Linked DNA regions of Struthio camelus. The protein of the gene in region 3 interacts with the protein of the main gene of each other region in a pairwise test. Links are inferred from orthologs where the notes say so. Each region holds a gene or a part of one and is shown on either strand. Other genes may lie near its edges. The genes, in order: ARMC7, ZMYND19, TNFAIP1 and POLR1C.

What was found.
Region 1: the proteins of TNFAIP1 (region 3) and ARMC7 interact in binary tests that used the Homo sapiens proteins (3 or more experiments, as listed by UniProt). The link is inferred for Struthio camelus from reciprocal best matches to the Homo sapiens genes TNFAIP1 and ARMC7.
Region 2: the proteins of TNFAIP1 (region 3) and ZMYND19 interact in binary tests that used the Homo sapiens proteins (3 or more experiments, as listed by UniProt). The two-hybrid records come from large-scale screens. The link is inferred for Struthio camelus from reciprocal best matches to the Homo sapiens genes TNFAIP1 and ZMYND19.
Region 4: the proteins of TNFAIP1 (region 3) and POLR1C interact in binary tests that used the Homo sapiens proteins (3 or more experiments, as listed by UniProt). The link is inferred for Struthio camelus from reciprocal best matches to the Homo sapiens genes TNFAIP1 and POLR1C.

What each region holds. Positions count from the first base shown.
Region 1 is NC_090960.1:8,164,446-8,172,259, reverse strand, and holds ARMC7 (armadillo repeat-containing protein 7), read right to left. Parts: upstream 3,019-7,814; 5' UTR 2,897-3,018; coding exon 2,830-2,896; intron 2,736-2,829; coding exon 2,592-2,735; intron 1,308-2,591; coding exon 970-1,307; 3' UTR 442-969; downstream 1-441. UniProt on the Homo sapiens protein: As a component of the minor spliceosome, involved in the splicing of U12-type introns in pre-mRNAs.
Region 2 is NC_090961.1:12,062,816-12,069,756, reverse strand, and holds the start of ZMYND19 (zinc finger MYND domain-containing protein 19), read left to right. Parts: upstream 1-3,926; 5' UTR 3,927-4,034; coding exon 4,035-4,085; intron 4,086-4,367; coding exon 4,368-4,427; intron 4,428-6,140; coding exon 6,141-6,247; intron 6,248-6,941. UniProt on the Homo sapiens protein: May be involved as a regulatory molecule in GPR24/MCH-R1 signaling.
Region 3 is NC_090957.1:21,433,476-21,440,494, reverse strand, and holds the start of TNFAIP1 (BTB/POZ domain-containing adapter for CUL3-mediated RhoA degradation protein 2), read right to left. Parts: upstream 3,005-7,019; coding exon 2,617-3,004; exon of another isoform or gene 435-2,616; coding exon 265-434; exon of another isoform or gene 142-264; intron 1-141. Other genes in the region: IFT20 (intraflagellar transport protein 20 homolog), read left to right, coding at 6,159-6,285, 6,702-6,787. UniProt on the Homo sapiens protein: Substrate-specific adapter of a BCR (BTB-CUL3-RBX1) E3 ubiquitin-protein ligase complex involved in regulation of cytoskeleton structure.
Region 4 is NC_090944.1:103,663,130-103,670,169, reverse strand, and holds the start of POLR1C (DNA-directed RNA polymerases I and III subunit RPAC1), read right to left. Parts: upstream 3,013-7,040; 5' UTR 2,765-3,012; coding exon 2,696-2,764; intron 2,602-2,695; coding exon 2,530-2,601; intron 2,335-2,529; coding exon 2,227-2,334; intron 1,535-2,226; coding exon 1,402-1,534; intron 1,271-1,401; coding exon 1,151-1,270; intron 959-1,150; coding exon 806-958; intron 628-805; coding exon 478-627; intron 1-477. Other genes in the region: protein YIPF3, read left to right, coding at 3,238-3,318, 3,414-3,617, 3,703-3,809, 4,680-4,725, 5,153-5,245, 5,593-5,724, 6,281-6,394, 6,869-6,992. UniProt on the Homo sapiens protein: DNA-dependent RNA polymerase catalyzes the transcription of DNA into RNA using the four ribonucleoside triphosphates as substrates.

The DNA.
Region 1 (7,814 bases), on a different chromosome or scaffold from region 3:
TCTCCAGGTTTCTAGAAAGTTGCTCTGTATTAAACTAGTTAATCTCTGTAGAGTTGTTACTGGTGTTTGATTGGTGTAGATGAGTAGAAACTGCCAAAGACATTGTTTTGGTGTTTTTTAAGCTCACTCCCACATCTTGAGCTGAATGGGCATATGGGGGAGGGCAGAAAGGAGGGAAAAAAAAGTACTAAGGCTGTGAAACTTGAGCAGACACAGCGTGTCTGCTTAGGGAGCACGGCGTCCAACAGCCAAACGTTTTAAATTTTATGTATTTAGTCACCCTGGCTTTTGGGTTGCTTTTTGCGTCATTGGCTGATAATGAAAGGAGACCAAGCTGGCTTCAGTTTCTGGCCCACGTGCATTAATGAGTGTAGGTGAAGGCTGGGTTGCAAGCGCTGCAGAAAAACATTTATGTTCTTATACAAAACTGTTTACACAGCATTTAAGCTAATGTTTTATTAAGAGTAGGTTTTACAAGACAGCTGTTCTTGTGAGCCAGACTGCCATGAGCCTTATTTTTTTTTTTTAAATCTTCACCTTTTTCACCAGTGACAATGAAAGAAATAGAACTTTCCACTTCCTGTTATGTAGCACAGTTATGATCTGTTCTGTATAGTGAGGAACCAAAGGGGATGTAAGCTGCCCAATAACCTGCGCAGAAAAGGCTAATTGCTGGGAAGGGTTATTTGCGCAAGCTGGGTGCTGGCCTGCACTTGGCAGCCCGCTCTCCAACAGCCATGACCTGTTTTATTTTTTTATTTTATTTTTTTAAGTTTCATGTCTAGACTGATTCACATTGTAGCACTGTGCCTTCCTTTGTATTAATACTAAAATCCAGCGCTGGTCTGACCATCTTCCCTGTTTAAAGTTGCTCTCGGCACACTCTTGACCTGCTGAGCAGAAATTGGAAGGCTGGGATGTTAAGAGGGAAACCTCCCTCGTAAGAGCGCCAAGCTGCTCTGGGCAGTTTCAGTCCTTAGGGAGAGGAATCCCCACTGCTGTGTGTTTGCTTAGATTCCTGGCCTCTTCCACTTGGAGAGGTGTGCAGTAATCCTCAAGGAAGACAGTTGCCAGATTGCTTAGCCTTCTGCTGGCCGAGAGAGAGAAGCGAAGCATGCACTCCACCACTGGGAGAGCTGTGGTCTGCTGGCGCGACTGCGGCGTTGTCAGGTACATCAGCGTTGTGACTGCCGACATCACTGTCTCCTCATTGGAGCTGGACAGGCAGTTTATTATGGGCTCTACCCCATTCGCCTCCAAGATGTAGTCTTTGTTAGTTTTATCCAGACAGAGGTTACAAAGACCACCTGAAACACAGCAGAAGAGAACGTTCTGATGCACGCAAGACGCTCTTCTCTACTCCCTCACCTTTTTCGAAGATTTAAGTCCACTGCTACAACTAGGAACCTTTACTCTTTCTTACAGTTGAAACTACCACAATTAAATCTCTGTAATGCACATAACTTGGTACACATTTCACGTTTCCTCTCCTTATTTTTGTTTAAACAATTGTGCCAACTTCATCTTTCCTTCTTTTTATAAACTGACACAGAAAAATATTTCTCCTGAGCAATAAGAGGTAAACGTGCTAAATCTTAAAGATGTTGAGAATTACAAAATGGGATTTTAATCATCTTAAATAACCTCTTTTTTCTAACTCAGTGTCGTAATGGAAATTATTTACCTAAATGCAATTGCGCAGTGATGCCAATTTTGCTGATCCCCGTTTTCCAGTACGGAAATAAGCAGCCAGATTGGCTGTGAGATCTGGATGGAAAAGTGCTAAGTGCTCCTGCGCTAAGTTTTCTTGATTCTTCCTGGAGATTTTCCACTAGAACACTCCTTCTCCAGTATGTCATTAGAGGGCACTGTGCCTCTGGACATAACGTCTTCCACAGAATGAAAAATACCTTTATCACTTGACCCTAGACGTGGCTACAATCCAGCAGTATATGGCAGATGTTTTACAAAACCAGAGAACAGAGAGACTAATATTAGTCGAGAGGCCTACAATATTAGTACTTGAGACTTTAAGGTGCAGGCATATCCTGGTGTAGCTCAGTCAACAAACCTTAAAAACAGAGCGTATTTAACGTCTCACGGAGTCACTCCCAGTGAGGATCCGGCCCCGTTCCCTGTATGCAGGGCACGATGACTCGGTGTCAGGGACTCCTCGGAGGGCTCGCCGGATTACTCCCGACAAGCGTTCTGGCAGACTGGCTGTCAGCACTAGGGTGGAAACACTGCATCTGTGCCTTACGCAGGGCACAAATTCCCTCTCAGTGACCGTCTCCGTATAGGAGAGATTTGGGTAAGAAGTCATTCAGCCAGTGTTTTCTTCTAGCATAAAAAAACCTGCTTTACAGAAAACAATCTTTTTTTTAAGTGCTGCAACTATACTGAACTTCGGGGTGGGGTGGTGGGGGGGGGGGGAAGCTGCCGTTCGCTCCCCTCTAAACAAGGCTTTAGGGCTGCAGCCCGGTCCCTTGCAGCACCCCAAGCAGCACAAGCAGCCACATGTTGCTTGAGCTTCCGAGGGGCCGGGCCGGGCCGGGCCGAGCCGGCAGCCCTGGCCCCGCCGCCGTCCTTACCGATCGCGAACTCCACCAGGCTCTCGCTGTCCTCGGCCAGCGCGTCAAGGAACAGATCCAGCACCTGCAGCTGCCGGAGGTGCTCGTAGTTGTGGGGGTCGTAGGCGAAGTTGGCCAGGTTGGCCAGCACCTGCTCCTTGGCGTCTGCAAGGGGGGAGAAGCGGCAGGTGAAGGCGGAGCGGCGGCGCTCGGCGGTCCCGAGCGAGCTGTCCGCCGCCCGCTGCCGCCGGGGCGTCACCTGGGCTGTCGGTGGCCTGGAACTCGGTGACCAGGGCCTGCAGGTACTCCAGCCGGCCCAGCTCCATGCCGCCCGGGCGGCCGCCGCCGCCGGGAGCCCTCAGCGCGGGGAGAGCGGCGGCGGCGGCGCCCGCGCCTCAGCGCAACCGGCCGCCCGCAGCCCCGGCCCGCCGCAACATGGCCGCCGCGCCGCGCCGCGCCGCTCCCCGGGCGGGGCGAAGGGGTCGCCTCTGCCTGGCGCCACTGCAGGGACAGAGGGGCCGGAGGGGGCCGCGGGCTGGGCCGGGTTGCGCCGAGCCGCGCTGCTTCGCCGCCTGACCGGGAGGGGCGACGGGAGGGAGCGGGCGGCGGCGGCGACAGGAAGCGACGCGCCCCGCCTCCCCCCCGCCCCTGCGCGCGCCCCGGCGGCGGCGGCGGCGGCGAGCTCGGGCGCGAGGCGCGGCGGCCGTTGGCGCCCCCCCGGCGGCCGTTGGCGCCCTCCGGCGGCGGCGGCGGCGGCGGGAGCGGTGCCCGGGGCCGAGCGGCGGCTGCGGCGGCGGCGGGGGGCAGCCGCTCTGGCGGGGATCGCGCCCTCGGCGGCGGCGGCGGCTGCCGCTCGGCTCGGCTCGGCCCGGCCCGGCCCGGCCCGACGGCGGGGTGGCGGGAGCGGCTCCTGCCCTGGGCTCCGGGCGGCAGCCCGAGGGGACCGTCCTCCATGGCAGCCAGACCGGCGACGAGCCGCCGCTCGGCCCCGGCCCCGGCCCTCCCGCCCGCGACGCTCAGTCTTGGAAGCTCCTTTCTGCGTCCTGGAAGGGACCCGCGCTTCCCTCAGCTGCTCGCTGTCTGCTCCCAGACTTACGGTTTTCCGCCCTGCTCGTTTCCGTGTCCTTCCAGGTTCTCCACAGTTAGCTGTAATAAGTGCTGTTGAGTGTTAAACGCTGGACCGTTCCCCCAGGCCGTGACGATGCCGACCGGCTTCTTGGCAAGCGAGCGCAGCAAATGATGAACCAGTTAGAGCGATCCGCTTCCGACTCCATCTCAGCATCCCCCGGGGACGTGTGTCCACCACGGGCCATACGGGGAATACAGGCGGGCAAGAACACGGGGCCGACTGCTGCAGCAGGGAGAAGAGCAGGAGGAGATAAAGGTCTCGGTTCATTGCCTTATGGTAATAAGCAGCGGGAGTTGAGACGTGGCTGCAGGGTGCCATGGGGCTGGGGGTGCGATGGCAGAAGTGGGGCGTGAGAAGTGGCGCGAGGCAGGATCCGGGGCAGAGGGGCACGATGGGTGCTGCTGCGGGTGGCTCCTGGGCCGATCCCGGGCGGCCCGCGTGCCAGGCAGGTGCGGAGCACATGCTGATCCCTCTTGCAATGCAATGTGTTGAGACAACGTTCTTCACAAGCTCCCTGCGCGTCTGTGTCGCCGCTCCCAGTCTGGGGAAACGCGGAGCTGTGCTTTCCGAACGGAAGCACGTGTTGGTTTGGAACAGAAGTCACAAACGGGGACTTTTCCTCTCCAGATATTTCCTTGACCTCAAACAGATACCATCAGTTGGTATAAGCGCACTTTGAATTGTGGAGAGCGTCAGGTGACTGAAGGTTCAAAGGGACAAACTCCCCATCTTGTAGACAATGAATAAAGCATGTTGGTTTCTGAACAGACAGCTGAGTTCCCAGCTCTCCAACGTCACTGCTCGTGCCAAGCGTGCAGGGTTGGCGGAGGCGGTAATTCTTTTCCTCTGCACCTAGTTCCCTGTTTCTTGACTGAGTGTCCCAAGAGAGACTTCCTCCCCTCGGTTAAATGCATAGATCTTTTAACATTTGTTCCTTGATTGGTTTTCAGCTTAACCTAATAAGCATAGATGAATGCATTGAGATGATCTATCAGCGCACGAAACACCGGAGCTCTGTAAACAAGGGGCTAAGTGTCCTCCAGAGGGGACCATGGCCTAGGGTAAGCTTTTTGACCGCTTCTCTGTGGGCTGGACAAGCTTTTAGGAGCTCTAACACGTGCTACTGAAAGGCGCAACAGCGAGCAGCTGTTGCAAAGTGTAGAAGGGCTGGAGAACCATGAAGTTTTACAACAGCAGGGACCTCACTCCTTTTCTGTATGCTTATTGGTATTCAGAAAAAGCGTGATGTGGGAAAAGACTGTCTATGGCTTCCTGAGTTAAGAATTATTTTGCAGCCAAATGTTTTTGGGCCACTGTGTGATAAAACCTGCAGCATGCTGTGCCACACGCACCTGCCCCCCCCCAGCACCTTCTCCTCTCGCTGCCCCTCATCACTCCCATTCTGCTCGGTGCCCCGGCCCTGTCTGCTGCCCTCGGCGAGGTGCGGCTGCCCCCCCCCCCCCGGCCCAGCGACGGTATTTCTACCTGATGTGAATGTTTAGGCCTGTCCTGTGCTGGCAACTTCAGCTGTTCTACGCGGTGTCAGTTGGAGCGTGTGTGTATGTCTATGCATGTCTGCAAATGCTCAGGCAAGCGTTCAGTACTACAACCTATTGCTAGGCTAGCGTGGTTTGCTCATGTCATAGCCAATCTTTTCTAGCGGAGGCTTTTGCAAGTGCCTCAGTGTTGCCATCCTTTAAAGCCACACGTGTCATTACATACGAGGCGAATGACTGCTGTGGGCAAGCAGGAGGAGAAGAGAAAGCAAGTAGAGGGGAACTAGCTAGCGTAAAGACAAGGGCTTGAGGACTCTGGGATTGACTGGGGGGGGGGGAGTGCAAAATGGAGTTTTTCCAGAGGAAGGATGAAATGCCTTATATTCACCAGCCCTGTGGATGTGGTCAGTCAGTTCGATTTTGCACGCCTAGAAGCAGGAGGACCTCGGTCGCCCAGCGTGGTTTCAGAGAGAGAGTAGTGTTTAGAGCAGGCTTTTGTCTATGCTGGCTGAGTTTTCAGGTGAGGCATCCCTGAAAAAGGTACTCTCCAGGGCACGCTCTTTGGTGTGTGGCAAGACGTCATCGGGAGCAGAGGCGCACCTCTGGCTGTCTTTCTGAGAATGACTAGCTCTGCTCCCTGGAGCCTTTGTCTCTCTTTGAGTTTAATCACAGCTGATTAAGAGCTGGGCGGAACAGGCTGCATTTAAGTTGATGTGGTGGAGCTGCCTCCTGGAGGAGAGTTGGATCAAGTTGCCTGGCTTTGCAGTCCTCAGAGCTTTTCTGTAGGCGTTACTGCCGGGTTGCAGAGCACGCTAGTACTGTTAAGGTGGCGTGCTTCGTTATGGGCTGCGTGCTTGTTGTCTTGGTGCTGCTTCGCTGCCGAGAGTTTGTCCGGATGCTCCGAAAAGATCACTTGGCAGCTGGCAGAAGGGGCTGAGGTGAGTGTGTAATGCTCTTCCTCTGGCTGTTTGCTCAGGCACTATCGGCTATAACGCTAAATGGTCTGAATGCTTCCAGCCCCTGCTGTTTGCCGGGAGACTTAGCAGTGAATGAACTAATGAAAGTGAGGTGTTCGCAGCCTCCCGGGCCCTTCTTTCCAGGGACGGCAGCTCCCACCTGATGGCATGACAAAGCTAGAACACAGTAAGTTTTCATTTCTAGCAGTTATTTAGCCATTACTAGCAAAGTCTTCCAGCAGTGTGACAAGCTCTTCAGCTAAGCAGTTTTGTGCTCTGAGGCGCATTGCAGTGCGTAAGCTGACCAGGACTCTTCCTTGTTTTCATCACGCTTCCCTAAGACTGATGCTGGCTAAGTATCTGAGATGTATAAAGATCCCAGTCTTGAACTATTTCAGCGTGAACTTGCTGGTGAACGTTTCCTTGCGATAAGGAAAGGTGCCTGTTGCAAAAATGCTTAGCTTGTAAAGTGAAGGAGACTGCTTTTATGAGCAAAGGCAGCAGGGAGGGGTCGGTGGGGACTGGGAGAGGGATGTTTATTTCTGGGCTATTCTTCTTGCTCTGCCCGTTCTCAGAGGTTTCTAACCTGGCTGAGGTTTTGGTGTTTGTCCCTAGCAAAAGCCCATATTATTTTACTGTCTGTAAGTGTTGGGGAAAACTGCTTTAGGGGGGTGGCAGTAATTAAGGTGTGGTTGCCTTGCATAATGGGAGTACCTTAAACTATGGCAAGGAACTTTTATTCCTTTTTGTTTCCTGTGGGCCTCATGATTCTTAAGCATGGGGTGTTAATATTTCTGTGCTATAGCTCTGAGAGGGAATGCTTATTATACCGTAGCACGCTCAGTATGCACGGCCCCTTCAAAGCTGCTGCTCGAGGCGGCTTGCAATTCAGGCTAAAGACAGAGGTAGGAGAGGAGAGCTGTAGCCCAGGAGAGCAGGGAGGTAGCTTTCCCCCTTTTGGCAGCAGCAAGCTGTTCAGTCGCCTTATTTACCTGTGGAAACACCGCCTGAAACGGTACCTGTTACGTCTCCGAGAGTTGTGTTCAAGCCATGGTATGTGGATTACTTCTAAACGGTCCCTGAAAAGTAGCTAGGGGAGACAACCCTGGTTTCAGTCAGCTTACGTTCTGGAAGGCTGCTAGACGTTTTTTAGGCCGCCAGAGGGGAAAAAAGTGAAAACTGCGGATTTGTAAACTAGGTGTTTCTCCTCCCAGAAACATCTCTCTGCCTATGAACATAAGTCCCAGAGACCCTGGCTCTGAGTCTGGGGGTATCAAAAACCTGTTCTAGAAAGCGCTCGCCTCACTTTCCCTCCTAAGTTACTTGGCACTATTGTGCCAGCTGAGAAACAGTCAAACCGGCGATGCTGTTGCCGTGGTATAGGAGGAACTGATCTGCAGCAACGGGTCAGCCCTGCAGACGCAGCCGTTGGCTCCGGATGGGGGGTGCGTTCTAGTGCTTCTTCCACGAAGCTTTATTCTTCCGCGATACGTTGTGATGGGTTGCAATTCAAGCCATATCTTGCTTGTTGTGCTCAGGACAGTTGTAGGAAAGGGCAGATGTGGGGCAATGTGCCCCCCCTCCCCCCCCAATATCTGGAAGGAAGTGTAAAGGGTATGTGAACGGGTGAACAGAATATAAAATTTGAGAGTTGCTATTTGTA
Region 2 (6,941 bases), on a different chromosome or scaffold from region 3:
GAGACAAGGGAAAGGAGGGTCACGTCCAGCATTGCCCAGCGGGTGGGAGCTGCTGGCAGGGTGCTCACGCGAGGGCAGGACCCGTCGCTCCTTGCTGAGCCTGCGAGCGGCACACCGGGGTACGAACCGCTCGCAGTGGAGCGTCCTCACAGCTCTGCTGCTTCCAAACGGGGCAAATCGCTGCTTTTGGCACCGTGGGGCCGTTCTGGGGGAGATGGACACCTCGCGTACCTGGCAGAAGGGTCTCTCCTGCTCGGCTCTGGGCTGCAGCGGTGTCCTCACGGCACCAGGTGCTGGGCGAGAGGTCGGCAGCAGGCCCGGGGCTGTCACCATCAACGCGGGGGGACGGCTGGCTCCACGCAGGGGCTCGGCGGTCTGGAGGAAGGGCACAGAGCAGCGATACGGGGCAGGCGCGGGGCCCCTGGCCCTGCCAGACCCCCGCCGGTGTCTTGGTGTCGCAGGCCGCTCTGCAGCATGGGGGCTTGTCTTCTTCTGAGCAGCTTTTGGCTAACGTGGTTTGGGAGCAGAGCCCAGCTTCCCCTCAGCTCCCAATACCAGAAACGTGCCTTTGCCAGCCAGGTGCCCTAAAGCAGCAGCTGCTTGTGACGGTGCCGACCGCTCTGTCTCACCCATGAGCCAGAGACAATCGCGAGGACACTGCAGCCGCTCGACCCGCAGCGTCAGGTTTTGTGTCTGTCCCTGAGAACGGGGGGTTGACCCAAGCCCGCCTCCAGCAGAAGACCCCGGTGCTGGGGGAAGATGCCCTGATCTCCACGTGGCAGGCGAGGTGGTCTCCATCCATCGCCTGCTGCCGCCCACACTGCCCGCGACCTCAGGGACGTCGTGCCCTTCTGCCACGTCCCCCAAGGGCAGGGGACTGCGCGACGGGCATGGGAGGTGCAGAGGGTGCCAGAAGGGGAAGGAAAGTCGCGATGGCAAAGTGAGCTTTCGCCGGCCTACGAGAAAGGAGGAGGCTGCTGGCCGGCAGGAGCCCCAGCCGGGAATCAGGTGGCAGGGTGCCCGGGGTGCTGGCCGGGCTCGTGCACCCATGACTCACCTCCGCTGCGGGCCTCCACGCAGAGGAGCAGGCAGTGCCTCTTGCTCAGCTGCTTCACACGATCCAGGCAGACGCGGCAGGTCGAAGCCTCGGGCTCCGGCCGCAGCCGCGGGCAGAGCACAACCGTCACGGGCAGCAGGTTCCTATCGGAGGGCGAGGGACAGCTTGGGCGACGTCAAAGGCAACTGCCCCGGGCTGGGCTGCGTCGCCCCCAGGTGAACGGGACCAGGGGAACGGCACGGCCGCGCTGCGGATGGCAGCACCCGGCTCTGGCGGCGGGTTGGGAGCTCCCTCGCACCGGGAGTGGGAAGTGAGATGTGGAGTTGGGCAAGGCGGCTGCTCCCTGGTCCGTGCTCTTTGTCGCCTGATGCACAGGCGGTTTTGGGTTTCCAGGAGTCGGGCGTTGCTGGAAAGCATCCCCCCTCGCATCCCCACGCACAGCCCAAAATTACCAGCGGTGCTGGAAAAGCTGGCAGAAGAACGGTGGCTTCCAGTGCTGGTAGCCGTTCATGTAGTAGCTGGCCATGTGCTTGGTTACTTTCTGGCGGTAGTCCATTGCGGCCCCGCTCCGCGGCACGTGCCGGCCGCCGGTGGGAGCCCCTCGCCTGGGGCGACCTCACGGCACCGCTTTGTGACGGCCGGCGCGTTCCAGGGCTCCCGGCGCCGGCCGCCCTCGGCGAGGCACCCAGGCTTCAGGTACCGTCAGCATCTCGGGGCTGCAGTCCATTGACCACCCCAAAGCAAATGCAAACACCTGTCACCGGCAGGTATTTGCCGCCAGCGTTAGTCTGATTTTCTCTCTAGCCTGGACAATCTCTTCTTCTCCCCGTCCCTTCCCAGCTGGGAACGACCCGATTCTTATTTGGCGTGTTTCTAGGGCCAAGCAAAAGAGCAGGTGCCATGGGGAAGCGAAGCCCTTCACATCCCGAGCAAAGTCCCCCCGCACCGAACAACTTGTTCCTGGCATCAGCAGTATCATACACTCTTCTTTGCTGTTTTTCTCTTTTAAAAAGCAGGCCACAATCATCAAAAGCCACAGTCATCAAAAATGAAGCAATGCCCTTGATAAACCTGGGTGTATATTAATGGATTTATTGCACGTTTCCAGCTACTTTGCCTTTCTCGGAGGTTTGATTTATCTTTCTCCCTCAAGGACTCTTGCAAGAGCAAGGCATTCTTTTCACTGCATAGATACTCTGCTCCCGATTCAACTATTTGCTTGACTTTCTCATTAGCCAAAAAGACTTTTGCTTAGCAGCTTACGAAGGTTTCCTTATCCGACTAGCTGCCCTGACGAACGCGGTCAGGTTCGTGCCCCAACTGCACGGAGCAGCACCTGCAGAATTAGGCATTTCCTGGATCCCACGGGGTCTGCTGGCTGCTGAAGGGCTGCTCCAAACCGCGGTGTCTAATTTCCCTGGTCCGGCATGAGAGCCTGAAGCAGCTGGGGTTTATGTCTCCTCCATGGGATTGCTCCGTCGCAGAAATGAAAGTTTTTAAGGAAAGTTTTCCAAGCTTCTTCTTTAGATTTTAAATATTTTAACGTCTGTCTCCTTTAGATGCTCCTTTCACCGTTTTAAACACATCTTTTCCCTGCTGCTCACGTTCTTCGGGGCACAGTTGTCCTATTCTGCCCTAGTGATTTCCCAGGTAATTGGGCAAGGACAGCGATCCGTCCTCCTTGGCTGCTTTATCCATTTATATGCAATTTGAAGCCCCTCTTCGACCGTGACATCTTCCAAACGTTCCTGCAGGCTGCCGAAAACGCCCACACGTCAATCAAGGAAACAAGGTGGTTTCCAGTGCTCTTAGCTGTGACTGCAGAGTCTTGGGCAGCGGACGCTCTGCAAATCCGTTCCCCTGACTTTTGTGAAACGAGGAGCGAGCTCTTCGCCCTCATCTAGACGTTCGTCACGACTAGACCTGGAAACGAGCCCCACCACCCCGCACCCGCCAGCACGGCGCGTCGTTTTGGCGGACGGAGCCACCGATCAAACCCTGCGGCAGCACAAGGCGTCTGAGAACATCCTCGCCGAAGCTGTACGTTTGCAGCAAGGCAGATCATCCGGCTCTTTCCCCAGCCCGGGCAGGACCGGCCCCGCGTCCCGCCTGCAGGGCGCAGCTTATTAATTACAGCACATCCCAACACAGAGTGAATCTCTTTTATAACGCAGCAGGGTCCGCATCCAGCTCCCGGGACACGGGCGCCCGGCCCTGCTCCACCTTCTCCGGCAGGTCTCAGCCGAGCAGGGCCGCCCAGCCGCCGCCTCCGAAGGCCCAGAAGCGGCCGGCGCAGCCCACCGCCACCTCAGGCCACCAGCCGGGGTGACCTTCGCCACCACGGAGGGGCTCCCCAGCCGGCCCTGCCCTTCCCGGGCGCCAGCGCCTTCCTCGTAGCCGCGTGGCCACGGGAAGCACCGAACGCTTCCAAGCCCAACACGGGCAGAGCCACCGGACGGTCCCAGCAACGCGCCTCGGCCCGGCCCGGCCCGGCCCGGCCCGGCCCGGCCCGGCCCGGCGCCCCAGACCCTCCCCCGGCCGGGCGGGGCCCTCCCGCCCGAGCGGCCCCTTTAAGCCCAGCCCCCACCGCTCGCGCTCTCCCCGTGTTGGCGGCACAAAGCTTCCCGCGAACGTGACGTCAGCGCCCGCGCCTCCCTCCCCCGCCCCCTCGGGGCCGAGCCCGCGCGCGAGCCCGCGCGCGCCGCGCCGGGCCGCGCGCCCGCCCCCACGTGACCCCGCGCGCGCGCCGCCCGGCGATTGGGTGCGCCGGCGGCGTAGTAGGGGCGACGCGCCAGGGGCGCGGGTTGCCATTGGCCGGGCGGCGGCGGGTGGGAGGTGGTGCGCTGCCCCGCCCCCTCCCCCCCTCCCCAGCCCGGGTGTGCGCGAGGCGGCGGCGCGTGGCAGCGGCGGCGGCGGCTCCGCTCCCGCTCGCGGGCTCCGAGGGGCGAGCGCAGGCGGCGCCCGGCCCGGCCCGGCCATGACCGACTTCAAGCTGGGGATCGTGCGGCTCGGCCGGGTGGCCGGCAAGGTGAGCGCGCGGCGGCCGGGGCCTGAGGGCGCGGGGGGCGCGGCCGGGCGCTGCGGGCCGCGCCGGGCGGAGCGGCTGCCCGCGGGGCGGCGGCGGGGGCGCGGGCGGCTCCCCTCTTCTCCCCACACCCCCCGGCCGCGCTGTGCCCGCCGAGCCCGGCCCCGGGGCGGGAGGCGCGGGCAGCGGCGGCCGGTGTCGCGCTGCCCGGCGGGCGCCGGTGCCGCCGCCGCCGCCGCGGGGGCCCCGCTGGGCTGACGGCGGCCGCTGCGCTCTGTGTTTCAGACCAAGTACACGCTGATCGACGAGCAGGACATCCCGCTGGTGGAGAGCTACTCCTTCGAGGTGAGGCGGAGAGGCCCCCGGTCCCCCCTCCCCGGTGCCCGCCTCCTGCCCCATGACTTTCTCTCCCTCCGTTCCCGGCCCCCCCTTTCCCCTCCCCCATCGTATGCTGTCTTAGGGCTTGGTTTTAGGGGCTGTTTCTTTTTTTTTTTTCTTATTTTTCTTTCTTTTTTTTCTCTCTAAATCGCGATACCGGCTCCCTTTTTTCAGTGCGTGCGATCAGACTATCAGCAAGGCCTCTGCTTTCTCCCCCGTTAGCTTGTGGGGGTGGCGATACCCCTTTGCTCTGTCCCTTGGGTCCAGCAGCTCCTCCGAGGTCTCCGCTGCGAGAGCGGTTCGCGGTATTCCTGGGGGTGGAAGTAGTTGCAATGTGTCAGTGAGTTTTTTTTTTCCTGTTTTGACATGCCTAAATAAAACTGCTTGTGGAATCACGCTGGCGAGCAATAACTTTCCTACTTTGGGGGAAAAAAATAAGTTTGAAAATATTGAAACAACAGTGTGAACGCTTTCAAATGGGAAGTGTTCCGTTCCTTCATTTGTAAACAAGCATTAAAACAAATTAATTTGTTATATAGCTTTTGTTTTCAGCCTTCTGCTTGTATATATTTTTTGAAAACTTTCACAATCTGTCTCCCCTTATTTGGTTTGTAAAACTTTAAAAACACTTCACTTTGCACATAGTCTTGCACTGGCAAAACATCTCTTAGTTAGCTTAATATGGAACGAAAAAACTTTTCTCTTAAGATATGCTTCAAGAGGGTAAGCTGATTCTGCCTTACAGACTTACAAAGAGAAAGAATTCTTCATTGCAAAATCTTCTATAACTAACACGTTTTTGGAGTGGGGACCGTTTTTTTGCGTAGCACCTAGCACAGTGGGTGCTGCAGAGTTACTGTTAGGTGTCTAAGTGCTGTGGTGATGCTCCAATCAAGAAAGACCGTATTTGCTCTTTCCTCCTCTGTAGTAATTCATTTGTGTGGTAGAGGAGGGAAATGAAGCTGGACATGCAAGGACTTGGTCTCATTTCACAGGGGGTTCAGAACACTCAAAAATCCACGCTGCCCCTGAAAGGAGGGGACTCGCTCTTCCCCCATCTGTGTTTCTGCTACGCTACTGCTTGTGTGACTCCACAGGGGTTGGATCAGAGAAAAACATCTGGCTGAAAACTATATATATATTTTAAGGGGAGGTGGAGAGTATGCTAGCTTGCACGGTGAACTGTACCAGGGAACAGCAAGAGCGTTAGTGCCTGCACAAGGTTATGGAGCTGAGTGGAGAAAAGAGGGCAGGACCACTCCTTTCACTAGCAACCCCTAATTAGATTGGTGTAAAGCAATACTGGAAACAAAGCCTTGGTGACTTGCTGATGGCTGTACATAAAATCTATGCCAGAGCAGAGAATGGATCCTGGCCCTACAGGCTAACAACTGGATTGTTGTTGTTCTTTGTCCAAGTGGAACTCCTGCTGTGCAAAGCCTTCTTTCTTCCTTTTGCCTTGCATCTTCATAAGCTACAATAGCAGAGCTGTTTTCTCTCTGTTGGAGGTTTCAGACAAGTGAAATTCCATTAAGATCAAGTGACCTATATCTTATATGGTGGGTTTCCTACGTCTGTAGGAGCCAAATAGTAAATGTTGGTCTTTTGTATATCCCAAAAGGCATGTGCTCTGCCACTCTGTGTTGGGCGCCCTCAGTCACAGTCTTCCCTTTTCTCTAGGCTCGGATGGAGGTAGATGCTGATGGAAATGGTGCTAAAATATTTGCTTATGCATTTGACAAAAATCGTGGAAGGGGGTCTGGCCGCCTGCTACATGAGCTACTTTGGTAGGTAACTTCAAGGGTTCACTAAGGTGCAATTTGCTGCCTGCAACTTGTATGTTGTTTATTTCTCTGCTTGTAGTATTTTGAGTCTTCTCAGGAGGCTTGCAGCTATACTCATCTGGGAACCCAGCACAGTGGGTGCCATTAGATCTTATTATAGTTTTGTTTTGCACTGGTCATTTAAACAGTTGAGTCTCTGTAAAAATGTTATTCCCAGGGAAAACAGTGATAGGTGAGTATAATTTGTGCGGACACTGTTGAAATCTGAGAATTGCTACCAAAACTTGTGTGCCCGGGGGTGTTCCATCTAAATTAATGGATGAAGACTAACCTTTTGTGTTCCGTTTGTCCTGTGATAAGCACATAACTTACTGGCACCAGTGAGAATTGGCAGAGCACTGGAGAGATAGAACCTCTAACTTAAAACTTTGGAGGTTTTTGTTCAGCCTTCTGGAAAGCTACATGAAACAGCGCTGAAGGTACTTTGTCTCAGCTGCTACTTCCTATTTTCTGTATTCTAAGAATCATTGCTTGATATCCTTTGTAGCTCCCAGTTAACATTCAGAGGTTGACTTAATCAGTAGTAAGAGGTAAGTATTCCTGACTAATCTAATGAGCTGTTAGTCTGCTCCTTTTAGATATGTTCTTCATGATGAGACCTGAGTTTAATTTTGTAGAAAATATGGTGTGTGCTGGA
Region 3 (7,019 bases):
AGAGCATAAACTAAATCTCTCTTACACAAAGCATCACAGAATCTCGAGTGTCCACATACAGCAAGGAAAACCACGGCTTTGATAAATGTACTTGATAAGATCTTAACAACTTATCTCACTGCTGTCTCATTTTCTTTCCAGGCTACCTTGTGCGCCTAAGACTTGATGTACATCTAAGACCATGAAACACTCTTTGAAGTCATCCTAAGTCATATTTATAAGCAAAACGCCTGCCAATAACTACAGGCTACTTCTATTTCTTACCTGCAGGGCTGCTTGGCACATGTCTACTAAGCCCTGAATAAGATAATATTTGGCTTCTGCCATCAACTCTTTGATCTCCTGTCTGTGTTTTGGAAGCGCAATTGTGTCATCTCGGAGATAGTTTAAAATTGTTCCAAAGTGCTTCCCACAACGGTCTATAAGGATCCAGCCTGAAAAGTAACCATCACAACATTTCAATCACCTCAACAGTGGGAGGCAAACAACAGCTTTTCAGAGAGGTTAAACATGGAAACTGCATTCAAGTTTCATAAGCTGATAAGAAGCCTACTGAAACTTCCCTGAAACTGCGTATGATCTGTTTCCCATTTCATTCAGTGAAAGTCTTTACTGACTTTGAGCAAATTGAAGTTGGTTACAGAACAGAAAATGACAGGGGAATTGCTCTTCTGGCGATCTACTTTCCTCTTTGGAAATGTACTTTTGGAAGACTTCTCTACTCTTTTCTGCTTCTTTTCTATTCTTTGGAAATCTACTTTTCAGCACCCCAAAAGAAAAACACAGTTAGAAAAAAAAACTAAAAATACCCAGCTTTCTCTCAAGAGACATTAAAATCCCTGCAGGAACCTGGCTGCACTGTATCTACTGATCAGTCCATGTGCTGCCTGACTAAAATCATTTTCTGTGTTTGATCCTTTATTTATTAGGAATGGATCTTCTTAACTACTATAAGAAATCACCAGTTTGCATTTTTAGAGTTCTATTTGACTGACTGACCGAGCAATTCAAACCTTAAAAAAAAGCTTATTGTTAGGCAAGCTGCTTGTTTCATTTAGAGGCTTGCCATATTCCCAGCAAAATAGGGTTTTGCTGTGTTTGTATGGGAATAAATGTATCAAGTGCTGCTGCAGTGTAATGCTGGGCACTTGAAACTTAGAAATCTATTACTAAGAAAGCTAAGGGAAAAGTATAAGAAGGAATTTGCAAATATTTGCAACAAGTGAATTGGGGCTAAGTTCTGTGGCCTACCTAGAAAAATTTGTCAGCCTCCCAACCATCTTCTACTGTTGTTCAGAGTTAACAAAAAGAAAAGTATTCCAGGGATGCCAAAACATAGAATAGCCCAGAAAACACAGTGTGGGAAAAACACTGTTCCGGTCTCCGAATACGAGTAAAGAACACAGACAGATCAGGAGAGAGTGGAAAGTGGAAGCAGCACAGGAAGGAGTAGTAGATGAACGTTTTTCTGATTCTAAAACATCCCTGAGGGCACATTGACTAGGAAACAGGATGTCTGACTTGCTGGCAAACAATAGCAATGCAGGACACACGCAAGCAGAGGACTTAGTACAGTGACAAACTCTCTTCCATAATGTGGAAGGCAGGAAAAAAATGGTATTTGGGGACCCAGGTGCAGAGGACATTATAAGAAAAGTAGACTAAACCACTACTAGATTCTCCAGCTGTGGCTGTCAGAACACTAACCCTGTCCTCTCTTCAGGCTAAGGCTCTTACACAAAATTGCTGGGCTAAACTGATTTAGTCATATACAAACCAGCGTACTCAAGAGGAATTTGGTTTAAGTGATATGCACACAAAGAAGTTGTGTCAGTTTAAGTAAAAACACTGTTATGCATCAAGTTTAAATTGATGCAGTCTCAGCATGTGGAAGAGCTTTCACAGATGAATATTCTGAAACACCAAGAGGTTAAATACTTGCCATCCTCTCTCAATCTCTTCTCCACAGTGCTACAAGCCTCATTCCTAAGGTATCATTTTGCTATGGGATAGTAAAGAGAGGAAAACAGAAGCATTCATAGGCATTGCTGACATCAGTCTTCTTACTTGTTCTGTTCTCTATAATTTATTATGGATTTTTATTTTTATAATGCCAGGAATCAATGTCCAGCATGAGGCGACATAATACTTGACTGGTGACTAAATACTGTCACAACATGGATATGTATTGTCAGCAACAAGTGGAACATACTATTAGGAGGGGAAAAAAACCCAGAATCCTCAACATAGCAAGCAAGGCTGTTGAGTTTGAAAGATGAAAACTGAATGTCCCCCCACCCCCAGTTTTGATTGACACCACTATATATCACCCAATAAATGACAACCCATGTGCCGTATGTTCAGTCTTGATAACGTCAGCAATCTGTGTACCAGCTGGGATTGTAGCAAAGAGAACTAGTCCCTCCTCTAGTTAATTTTAGTAACAAAAGAGCACATTTTCATAAGGCACGGAGGCTTGCTAGAGCCAATGGGAGCTGGGTGCCTAATGTTCCAAATTACTTTCCGAATACGTTTTTCCTTATACCCTTCACTCAGCATAGTCTACAAAAACTATTGTTTTACAAAATTCTCCACATCAAAAGACATTCCCCTTACCTTCCTTGTCTGTGAGCACTTCCATTCTGCCACTGAACATAGCCTTCAACATTGTGTCATGCCTGGTCAGTACTTGAACCGTAGTATAATATAAGGAACCCCCAACATTTAGTCGCACATATTTGTTACCAAGGTTGCCCCCTTTGAAGTTGCTAGTTTTGGGCTTGGATCCTGCAGCTGGACAAAGGGTGGTTAGACATGTGTCCCCTGACATCTCCTTCTGTAGATAGATGACAACCCTGCAGAGCGTGGGCTTGATGGATTCCGCCGTGATTGGTGAAGAGTCACAAGTCACGAGATGAGGAGTGCAAGGCAAAAACAGTCGTAACCCACTGGACCCTTGAAACAGAAACGTATAAAGATCAATACAGAAGCCTGGAATTACCATTTAAAACAAAAACAGGAAACCCACATTAAAGAAGAAATGTATTCAGTAGATTCTTAAGGACACATCTGCACAAATTCTGACAAAACAAGACGTAAGTGTTTTTCAAACAACTTACACAGCAATATAATGATTGTTCAGCACCATACTGTTAAGTTATGGCTGCATTACTGTTAGCGAGGCAAGTAAAACTTTTCTGGACTTCCTTTTGTTTAGTCCTCAGTCAATATAACAATCACCATCCAATCCTGTACAAGTTTAAATAATAGTTAGAATTTGGCTCCCTCCCAACTTCCCAAAATAATGTAACTTTTTCTTGTGCAAATCTAAAACACAATGGAAGAGCTTTCTGCAATGTCTCCAGCTGGGGTTTATATGAATTTTTTTTTTAACTGGAGACATTTACAGAGGTTTCAGCTGCCTCTCTTTCAAGTGCCTCGACACTAAAATGCTGGGCCATAATGCTCTATTTCCTGGTACATCCTTCATTCAAAACTCTTTTTCCTCTGTCCTGGAATGCCAAGCAGTCAATATAATACTAATTTTTCTATTTAAAAAATACGTCCAGTCTTTGGAATATTTGCCTCACGGAAAAGCCAGCTAAGACATTCACAACTTCCTTCCTCTCCCCAGTCTCACTATACTTATCTTTCCATCCAAGAGAAGCTTAGAATGGAAACAAACAAACAAACAAAAGGAGAACAAAACTCAGTTTAACAGGCCAGATCTCAGGTTCTTTAACTGGAAAAGTACAAGTACGGGTTTCTCAGCTAGCCTTCTTTTAATAACTGTTGGCCTCAGAAACATTTTGCTGGCTTTTCCCCTCTCACTATGCTTTTGTCTGTTTATCTATTTCAGACTACAAGCGTCTGTTCGCTTCTCTGTTCTGTGCCCGTGGTACATGAGTGACCTTTTATAAATAAATATAATAACCTGTTAACTGTATTGCTATTCTTCCCACATCCCTCTTCCTTCTCACCCCACCTCAGCTTTCAGCATGGAAAAAACCCACATCTCTCCATCCATCTGGTGCAGCAAATTACTTAGCAGCTACAGATGGTATCTTAAAATTGCCAGAGATTTGAATAGCTACTGAACTTAGAACGATATCTAACATAATGTTATTCTAATTAAGGAAGCACTACAAAAAAGATCTATTAAACAACAAACAATACAAAAACTTTGCAGGTCACAAAGACACAAACCAATGTTAACAATTTTAGTGCCAAGAGAGATCAGTTTGTCTATAAATGCTGGAACTCCCACTAGCTGTCAACACTCTTTACTTTCAACTAATCATCCTAGAACACAATAGTAAATTTACTTCTACATCTGAACAAGCCAATTTTTTTTTCTGAGCACATCATTTTAGACAAGTCGTCCATTGACAAATATAAGTCAAAGGCAACTGCATGTTACAAATGAACTAGGCTAGAAAAGTAATTTCAAACTGGTAAGCAGCCAGCAACAAACAAAAACTGTGCATGCGATTATGGTGCTATAAGAAGTTTATTACCCAGAAGAGCTAAAAGCTATGGAGAAATTGACCAGAACTTCTCCAAACACATTGCACATAACACAATTCCTCCTTACTAGACATAGGTGTTTACTATAATCTTTTACAAATAAGTAAATCAAGACTAGAAGCAACTATACTTATTGTTTCAGTTAAGACCTTTGGTAGACCTAAGTTATACCTCTATTTCTACAAATTTGTTACAGATGTCCTGTCTTGTTTTAGCCCATAGCGATCTCTCTTTAAAACAAAAGCATGTTTTTAAAGATAGCCAGATTGATCATGCAACAAAAGAAATAACTCCAGACCCAAACAGAGCTCTTTAATGTCTTTCTAATGGATAGCAAAATTCTCTATCCAGCCTATCCAAGTAGGAGCAAATACTATTACTGTAACATGTTTATTAACTAGCAAGCTAGGAGGCTTTTGCTGCAAACAGTAATTTGACCTTTAATTACACCCATTAACGCAAGAGAAAATTTTCTACGTCCTTTCCTTCCTGCCTTTTGTGGGAAGCAGATGGAGAACTGCAGAACAATAACACGGCAGTTCAGACACCCTATCAGGAAATGGTCCCAGTTGAGGACTTCCATAAAAAGAAATAACGTTAACAGCTCAAGAGGAGAAAAAAAAAACTTGAACAGAATCACTTCTAAAGTGGCACACTTTCTGTCTAATTTCTGGACTAGACAAAATGGTCTTAGTAGTTTTGGACACTCCCAGGCTCTGCCAAGCCCATCATGATGGGACAGAAGCATGACCCCGATCCTTGCTGAAGTCTGCACAGAGCTGAGCAGCACAAGAAAGGTTATGGATAGAGAAGGTTTAGTGGAGTCAGAAAGGAAGGTGGCATGAGCACGTCAGTGTCAGAACAGCGGAGAAAAAGGAGGTTTCCTGCGTGCCCCGAAGTTTCACATACAGATGGAGGGCAACGTTTCCAGAGACAAAGTTTCCGGGTGCTGAATTACTCGAGTCCACGCACCTGGCCTCTATTCCTTGGTCAGCAAGGGCGACAGCACCACAGCGGCAGAATGTTTCCTCTCGGGGTCTCAGTTTTACATCTGGCAAGGCAAATAACAAGGTCACCCTAGAAGCTAAATACTCATGTGAGCAGGAGTTCTCCCCTAGCCGTCTCTCACCGCCCACCGGGATGCTGGGACGATACCTGACCGCACTCTTCCTCAGCCCCGCTCGGCCGGCAGCGCCGCGCTCCCGCGCCCGCAGGCTCAGCCCCGCCGCGCCAGGCCTCCGGCCGCCGCCGCCGCCGCCCCCCGCGCCTCCCGGCTCCGCCGTGCCCTCCCCCGCGGACCCGCCGCCTCGAGCGCTCACCCCCCCGCGGCCCCTCGGCTGAGCTCATTTCCTCCGCGCGCCGGCAACCCGGAAACGCTCCCCGCCGCCGGGACTACAGCTCCCGACGTGCCGCGGGCTCGGCGGGAGGCTGGGACTACAGCTCCCGGCGTGCCGGGTAGGGCCCCGCGACTGCAGTACCGTCCCCCCTGTCGCCGTGGCAGCCGCGGTGCGGAGGGGCGCTGCCAGGTGACGGGGGCGGCGGGAGGGACGGGACGGGCCGCCGGCGGGGAAGGCGCTCGCTGCGGTGCCGGCTTGCTGCGGAGCGCGCCTGGGAGCGGCAGCGGGGGCGGCATGGCCCGCGACGCCCTGGGGCAAGCCGGGCTGCATTTCGACGAGCTGAACAAGCTTCGCGTGCTGGAGCCCGGCGTGGCCGAGCAGACGGCGCAGCTCCGCGAGGAGTGCGGCGCCTTCGTGGACAGTAAGTGCCGCTCCGCCGGGGCGCCGCGCCGCGCCCGAGAGCCCGCGCGGCCCCTCGGGAGCGGTTTGTTAGCAGGTGTCGCTTAGCGGGGCCGTGCGGGGGCTCCGCAGCTTCGAATAACCATTCCTTGAATAGACGGATCGGAAAAATGCCTTGAAGTGACGAAAAAATTAAGGAAGCGGACTCCGTGGCGTAAAGGACGGTGATGAATCCCGTTAACGTTTATGGGCTTCTCTCTTTTTTGTTCCCCTTTTATATCCTACCTGTTGTGAAGGAAAATCTTAAAGTGCACCTATTTACAGTAAACTGAAAGGACTAAGAAGTCACGGCTGAAATTCAAAGCCTATAGTACACATATTAGTCTTATTTGGTGTTATTTTGATGGATATTACTTGACTTTTTTTTTTTCTTTGCAGAAGTAGTAGAATTTCAAAAAATAGTGGGTAGCTTAATTGAACTTGTTGATCAACTAGCAAAAGCTGCTGAAAGTGAGAAGATGAAGGTACTGCGCAATTAATTACTGGCTTGTAACATACCCTGCCCTGTACAATGCATGAAAAACCAGCTCCCTTCCTTCCTACTTTTACAGTATAAACAATAATTTTCTGTCAGCATCATGCAGATATTTTCCATGGTAGTTAACATCTCCCTGCCTGTCTGGTATGAAAGCATAGGGGCTACAAAAAACTGACATTAACAACTGGAAAAATTTTATAAGCACACCTGGAGTGTGA
Region 4 (7,040 bases), on a different chromosome or scaffold from region 3:
AAGCACTCGCCCACCAGCAAAGGCAGTGAAGCCACAAAGTATAAAGAATTAGCACACCTCCAACACAAAATTCTAACCTGATAGAAATGAGCAGTTCCAATCTAAACACAAAGCTTATACATACCCCTGGGCAGGATACACGTCATCCCCACATTCAACTGCTGGAAAGACCAAGCTCACTACCCAGTCTGACACACAGTTGAGCAGTATTTGGAAGCTGCAGTAAGCAGCCACAGGGCTCTACAGACAGACACACAATACCTTAGCATTTCAGGGAGATCTCAGTTCACCAGCAAACACATACGCGTGCAACAGCCACTCATCCATAAAACCAGGCTGAGAACAGCACAAACAGTTGCTGATCAGCAAGACAACATCACAATGTGGTTTCGTCTCCACAAGGTTTGGCTCTAGTCTGCAATAACTCTTTGCTAAGACTCATAAGGACATGACACGTTAGAGCAGTGAATAAAGTACCCTTGATGGTCTGGATCTCAATGACTCCAGGGGAAAAGCACTTCTGCAACAACTCAGCCGCCTCATTCTCAATAGGCTGCAGGAGAGTAATGTCCGGAAGCAGTCGATAACTAGCTGTGGCCACAGGAGAAAACTTGGCATGATCTTTACCTGCACAAAGAGATAAGGGTGAGGAGAGGTCTCACAGAACAAGAGGGTAATGATGCTAGGGCCTAAAGTTCAAAGAGGCAAGCCAGCCTTCCACCTCTCCCCTCCACACATCCGTCCATGCCCTATAGTCCGAGCACTCCCACACCTTCTCCCCCTACCCTCAGGACCAGTGACTTACCTATACCCTTGACACAGTGCATAAGCACATCTATTTCCTGGCCAGGTCGTAACTGTGCGATAAGGATGTCATCATGAACAGGTCGGAAGTCAGCATCTGGGAAGAGGTCTGTCTGATTTCCCAAAGGCACCCATGTCATGTGTTTACTGTACACTGTGAAGAGGAGCCACAAGCATCAGCCAGCTGCTGCCTCAGAAAGCAGACTGCTACAGGACTGGAGCTGGTAAAAAGTTTAGCAGAATAAGGGAATCAGCTCTCTCTGTTCACAGGACTGAGAGAATGGACCAATTCCTGTCTCCCAAGAAAAAAAGCAGCATCTGTTTTTAGGACACGGAAAGACCTTACCTTTGTGATTGAAGTACAGTTCATTGGGGTCAGAGGACTCCCTGGCTGCCTGAGAGTTTCGGCTGCATTTTATTTTCAGCTGGAACTGCAACGTATCAATTTCTGTCCCTTCTTCATCTCCTGGAAAGGGGAGAATAGCACGAGCGTCTACAGAATCACGCTTCTGCTCAGTTTACCTGATCCCAGGTTTCCTACTTTGGGGGCAACCTTCAGTATTTCGGTTTGATTGAAGGGAGACTCAGGACTCTCACCTTGGTTTCTGTACTCAAAGAGTCGAGGGTCAGCTCGGATAGGGATAAGTCCCAAGCGATGAGCCAGAATCTCATCCTGCACGATGGACGTGTTGTTGTACACAAAGACTTTCTCTACAGCCATCGTTGGCACCTCAAGGAGAAGAGGACGCATCAAGTCAGTATAAGGTGACGGTCCAACTACACACCAAAACAGTGTCTAACTAAAACGTGCTTATTTTCACTACTTCTTCTCTCCCATAAATAATTGCTCGCACACTCTTCTCACTGGTGTTTCTATCAAATTGCGCTACCCAATACAAACATGAATGAGTTCTCCCTCTATCCCGGTAGCTTACTTCTTTTATTAAAAAAAAAAAAAAAAAAAAAGTAAGAGAGGTAAAGGGCAGACCAATCCACAGAACCTACCAACATCCACAACAACCTACCAACCTACCTCAGCATCCTTAAGGGTTACAATTGCTATTGCTCATGCCACTAAGGCTCTAACTCTCTCTAGGTCCTTGACATACAGAACGGATTTTTGCTTCTCTTCTAAAATACGTATAGATGGACTGAGATACCACAGGACATACACATACACGCCCTCTCCCATCGCACAGACTGCTCTGCAGCTAGGGCCTGCTTCCAGGCAGCTCTGTGCAGGGCCCTGTCCCCCATGCCCTGCTGCAGAAACACTGATGCTGCAGCAGGCTCCCACCGGCGGGCCACAAGGGCCACCGGTGGTACGAAGATGCTAACAGCCCCGAGGCCCACCCGAGTTGGGGGGGGGGGGGGAACCCGGCCGGGGAGCACCGCCAAGCCTTGCCCTCCCCGCGGCGGTACCTCAGCCAGCAGGATGCGGCGGAAGGCGTTGGCGATGGCCGCGTCGATGCCCACCATGTCGAACTCCAGCGCGTCGTCCTCCTCGCGGACCACGTCCACGCGGAACCCCTGCACGGGCCACGCGCCGCGTCACCCCACGGGCCCGCCTCCACCAACCGCCGCCGCGCGCGCGCCCGCACCGCCCGGAGCCTGTAACGTTCCTCCCCTCCCCGCCCCGCGCGCCCCCTCCCCAACGGCCGCCGCGGAGCCCGCCCCGTCCCAACGGCCGCCCAACGGCCGCCCCGGCCTGCCGGCAGCGCCCACCTCCTCGAAGCGCAGCTGATCCCAGGCATCGTCGTAGCCGGGGTAATTGCCGGGGAAGTCCGTGGTGTGGACCTGCGAAGAGGGAGATAGGCAGAGAGCCCGTGAGGGCGGCGGCGGCGCCGGGAGCGAGGCGGGCACCCGGCAGCCCCGCGCCGCCCCAACTCACGTTGCGGACCCCGAACTCGCCCAGCACCACGCGCTCCCGCATCTCCTCCGTGCCCCGCTTGGCCGCCATTGCCGCCGCCGCCGCTACCAGAGCGCGTGCGCGGCCGGACGGACTGGGGAGGGAGGGGTTAGACTCCCTCTGCCACGTGACGGGCCGCCCCACCCCCGGCGGCCGGGCGGGAGGACTTGGCTCCGCCTAGGTGTGGCGCCTCAGCCGCGGGGCGTTCAACCCTCCCTCGCCGCAGGCCGGCCTGGGGGCGCTGCGACAGCGCAGCCCACGCCCCCGTATGCTCTGCGAGGCTCCCTCACCGTCTACTCAGCTCCTCTCTGCTGCCCCCTTCCACTTTCCTCTGCCACTCCCAAGATGGCGGCACTGCCGGCCGGCCGGCGAGAGCGCGATCTCGCGAGAGCGCGGGCGGAGCCTCCACGTCCGCCGGTGCTGGGGGGGGAGGGGGGAAAGCCTGTCACATCCGGGTCCTGCGAGCCCCGCTGGGCCCGCGGAGCCGCCAGCAGCGAGCGCGGCGCGGGGCGGCCCCGGCCACGATGTCCGCGCCGGGGGCGGCGGCGCCGGGCGGCGGCAGGAGCGGCGCGGCGGAGTGGGGCGGCTTCGAGGACAACATGCAGGTGGGGCCGGGCCGGGCCGGGCCGGGCCGGGCGGGGGGCGAGGCCGAGGCCGAGCGGGGCCCGGGCGGGCACTGACGCCTCTGCCCCCCGCGCAGGGCGGCGGCTCCGCCGTGATCGACATGGAGAACATGGACGACACGTCGGGCTCCAGCTTCGAGGACATGGGGGAGATGCACCAGCGCATGAAGGAGGAGGAGGAGGAGGCGGAGGGCGAGGCGGCGGCCGCCGAGGAGGAGGACGGGGAGTTCCTGGGCATGAAGGGGCTGCGGGGGCAGCTCGGCCGGCAGGTCGCTGACCAGGTGAGCGTGGCTCCCCGCCCGGCCCGCGGCCGCCCCCGGCCTCGGGGGCCCGGCCCGGCTGCTGCACGCTGCCTTCTCTCCGCAGATGTGGCAGGTGGGGAAGAGGCAGGCCTCGAAGGCCTTCAGCCTCTACGCCAACATCGACATCCTCCGGCCCTACTTCGACGTGGAGCCTGTCCAAGTGCGCACCAGGTGGGCAAGGCCGTGGCCCGGCCGTCGCCTCCGCCGCGAGTGCCCGGGGGATTCAGGGGGGACCAGCGACTCCTCACCAGGGAGCGGCTGCCCCCAAGGCAAGCAACTCCGGGTGGGGCTGCCAGCCCTGCGCAGTGCCCAGATGCAGGGTAACACGCTAGGCTTTGTCCCCTTGTCCTTAAAGAGGTTCCCTAGGCGGGCTGGCCGCTATGTCACTTGTGGCCCAGCAGAGCTTCTCTGACTGAAACAAGGGCTTTGAGGCATCTTTAGCGTTTTATTGCCCAGCCCCGTCACGTGGTTTCTGTTGGACCTGCAACACAGTTGTGTTCAGAAAGGCAGTTCTGTGTCTTCTCAGGGAGCAGCTTACCTGACTGGAGAGAATGAGGCAAGAATTACTTTTCTAAAACCTTCCAAGGCCTAAGGAGCCAGCACTAGGGTACAGTTTGTACATATTTTTACAGCATGATTTTATCCAGGACTAACTCATGAGGAGGCTCGGCTAGCCCGCTGTCATGAAGGAGAAGGCTTTATATCATCAACATATGTTTTTTCATCCAGCCTCAGGTCAAGGAGTTCAGTGGCTCAGAAAATTAGGGATTGCTGTTCTGGCAGCAGTCCCCTCATCCCTGAATGGATCTGTGTATGTTTTCATTAAATCCCCCTGGCAAAGTTAGCCTGTGGATAATAAGATTGTTTTCTTTAGCTACCTTTTGTGACTCTTCAGAAGGAATCTGTGTCTACCAAGGCCTGTGAGGCACAACAGGAAAATACTGGTGACTGGGGTATGGGATCTTTTACTGCTGAGGCATCTCGTTAACCTGGTTGTTTTTCCTGCTTTTGATGTCGTTCTGTGTTTTTTCTGTGATGCAGACTGCTAGAGTCCATGGTTCCCGTCAAGATGATTAATTTCCCACAGGTGAGTTCCCTTTTGCTGAATCAAACTCCATGGCTCAAGAGAATGTCCCACAGACACCTTGGAGATTTTGATTAGCCCGTGTTAGTAAGGGCCTGAGTTTGCTAGTTGTTCATCTGCCTGAAAATGCTGGTAAGCTCTTTCCCAGGATGCTTCTAAACCCCTTTCTGCTACCCTTAATGCTGGTACAGTTCTAGATCTCCAGACTTCACTTATCGTGTTTTGGCATCCTGTTTAACACCACTTTGACTCTTAATCACATGACCTATTTTTCCTGGCTCCTGTCAGCAGCGGCCTTACTGTTACTTCTCAGATCAGTAGGTGGCTAAGTGACAAAATTCATCCAAGGCACTTCTCACATGGCTTGGGGTGGGGAGTCTGGCCTTCAGGAGCACTAACCAAGCCTTCCCTGGTCTGTCTCCTCCTGTAGAAGATTGCAGGCGAGCTCTATGGGCCCCTCATGCTGGTTTTCACGCTGGTGGCCATCCTCTTGCATGGGATGAAGACTTCGGACACCATCATTGTACGGCGAGTCTCAGCGATAGGTTGGGGTTTGCACTGGGATCTGAATTGCCATAATGAGGCTAGAGAGGGAGAGGAAGCCTCTCCCGTGACTGAACAGCACCTTGCTGAAAAGCAGACTGATTTGAGGAAGAGTTAATTTGGGGGTAGGAGGAAGGAAGCAAGCATCAGAAAATCTTGATGCTGTGTTGCTGGAAGGGCTGGGCAGTAGGCCATGTGGCATCCTGGACGCTGCTGGCTGGCTATTCAGTCATGCCTAGCAAAGGCTCTGGGAACTCTCTGAGGTGGAATTTGGGTCCTGACAGGTCAGTTCTTTGCGCTCTCCTCACCCTGACACTGTCTCTGCAGAGGGAAGGCACACTGATGGGCACAGCCATTGGCACCTGCTTCGGTTACTGGTTGGGCGTCTCCTCTTTCATCTATTTCCTGGCATATCTGTGCAATGCCCAAATCACGATGGTGCAGATGCTGTCACTGTTGGTATGTATGGATGGGGCTAAGATGCAGGTTGGCTGCATGGTGCTTCAGCAGAAGGGTGGTGTGGGGGGGTCTTCCCTGAGACGTGGAAGTCTCCTTATCAATTAATGGTCCCAGGTGACTGCAGTCCTATTGCATGGGGATAGGCTGGAATTCCAAGTTGTTCTTCTGACTTGCCCCATCCCAGGTACGAGGACAGCACAAAGTGGCTGTTGCTTCATGCAGATCTGCTTTGGACTTCCTGATCTGAGAGCATGGTGGTAAAAAGCAGGAGATTCCAATTTCTCTGGAAACAGAGGCTGATTTTTTCTCTGTTTCCCAAGTTGCTGTGATTTCTATCATCCCTGTGACTCCTTCAGGCAGAGAAGCTGGATGTGAGCTGCTCCCACAGCACACTGGCTTTTACGTTTGGTGTGCTGATTGACTCTTGGGTGTTGAGTGAGTGATTAGTGAAGCTTTGCCTCCATGAAACGCTGCAGGAGTAGCCTACTCATGGTTTTGACCAGTAGCCCTTCACGTGGGACTGTCATTCATAACACGTGTATTTTTGTTTTGTCAGGGCTATGGCCTCTTTGGACACTGCATCACCCTCTTTGTTACCTATAATATCCACTTCCACTCCCTCTTCTATATCTTCTGGCTGGGTGTTGGTGGACTCTCGACACTACGAATGGTAAGGGACAGGCAGCTGGGAGCCCTCCTGCTTTGGGGACCAAAAAAAAAAAAAAAAAGAGGAGAATGTCATTTGCTTTCTGTTTCTTGGGGCAGGCAGTTCATATCAAAGCCAGTAAGGCTGCTAAGAACAACAGCCTGACACTTCTGGGTTGCTTGGCCGCTGGTGTCTGGAAGTGACACTCGGCTTAATGTCCTCACGCATTCTAATGGCTGCAGGAGGTCTGCTCCCTTACAGCCCCTACTGTGGTGCAGAGTCCTGCCTGAGCATCCTGAACTCTTGGCAAGGCTGGACAAGCTTCACCTACATGAAACAGTCAGTTTACTTTGAATTTGGTGGTGTAAACTGCCAAAGAGTCTCTGAGTAGTTTCTGTTGGCTCTTACCACTTGGCCCATCTGCCTATGTGCATCTGACTGCAACGCCAAAGGCTGAGGTAGCAGCTACCTTGTCTGTAATCTCCACCTCTCTCCTAGGTTGCTGTGCTAGTGTCACGTACCGTGGGGCATACTCAGCGGCTCATCTTGTGTGGGACCCTTGCTGCTCTGCATATGCTTTTCCTCCTCTACCTGCACTTTGCTTATCACAAGGTAGTAGAAGGTAAGAAGGGGAGATAGGAAGGGAGTGCCTGTTAGATCTGGGGGAAGA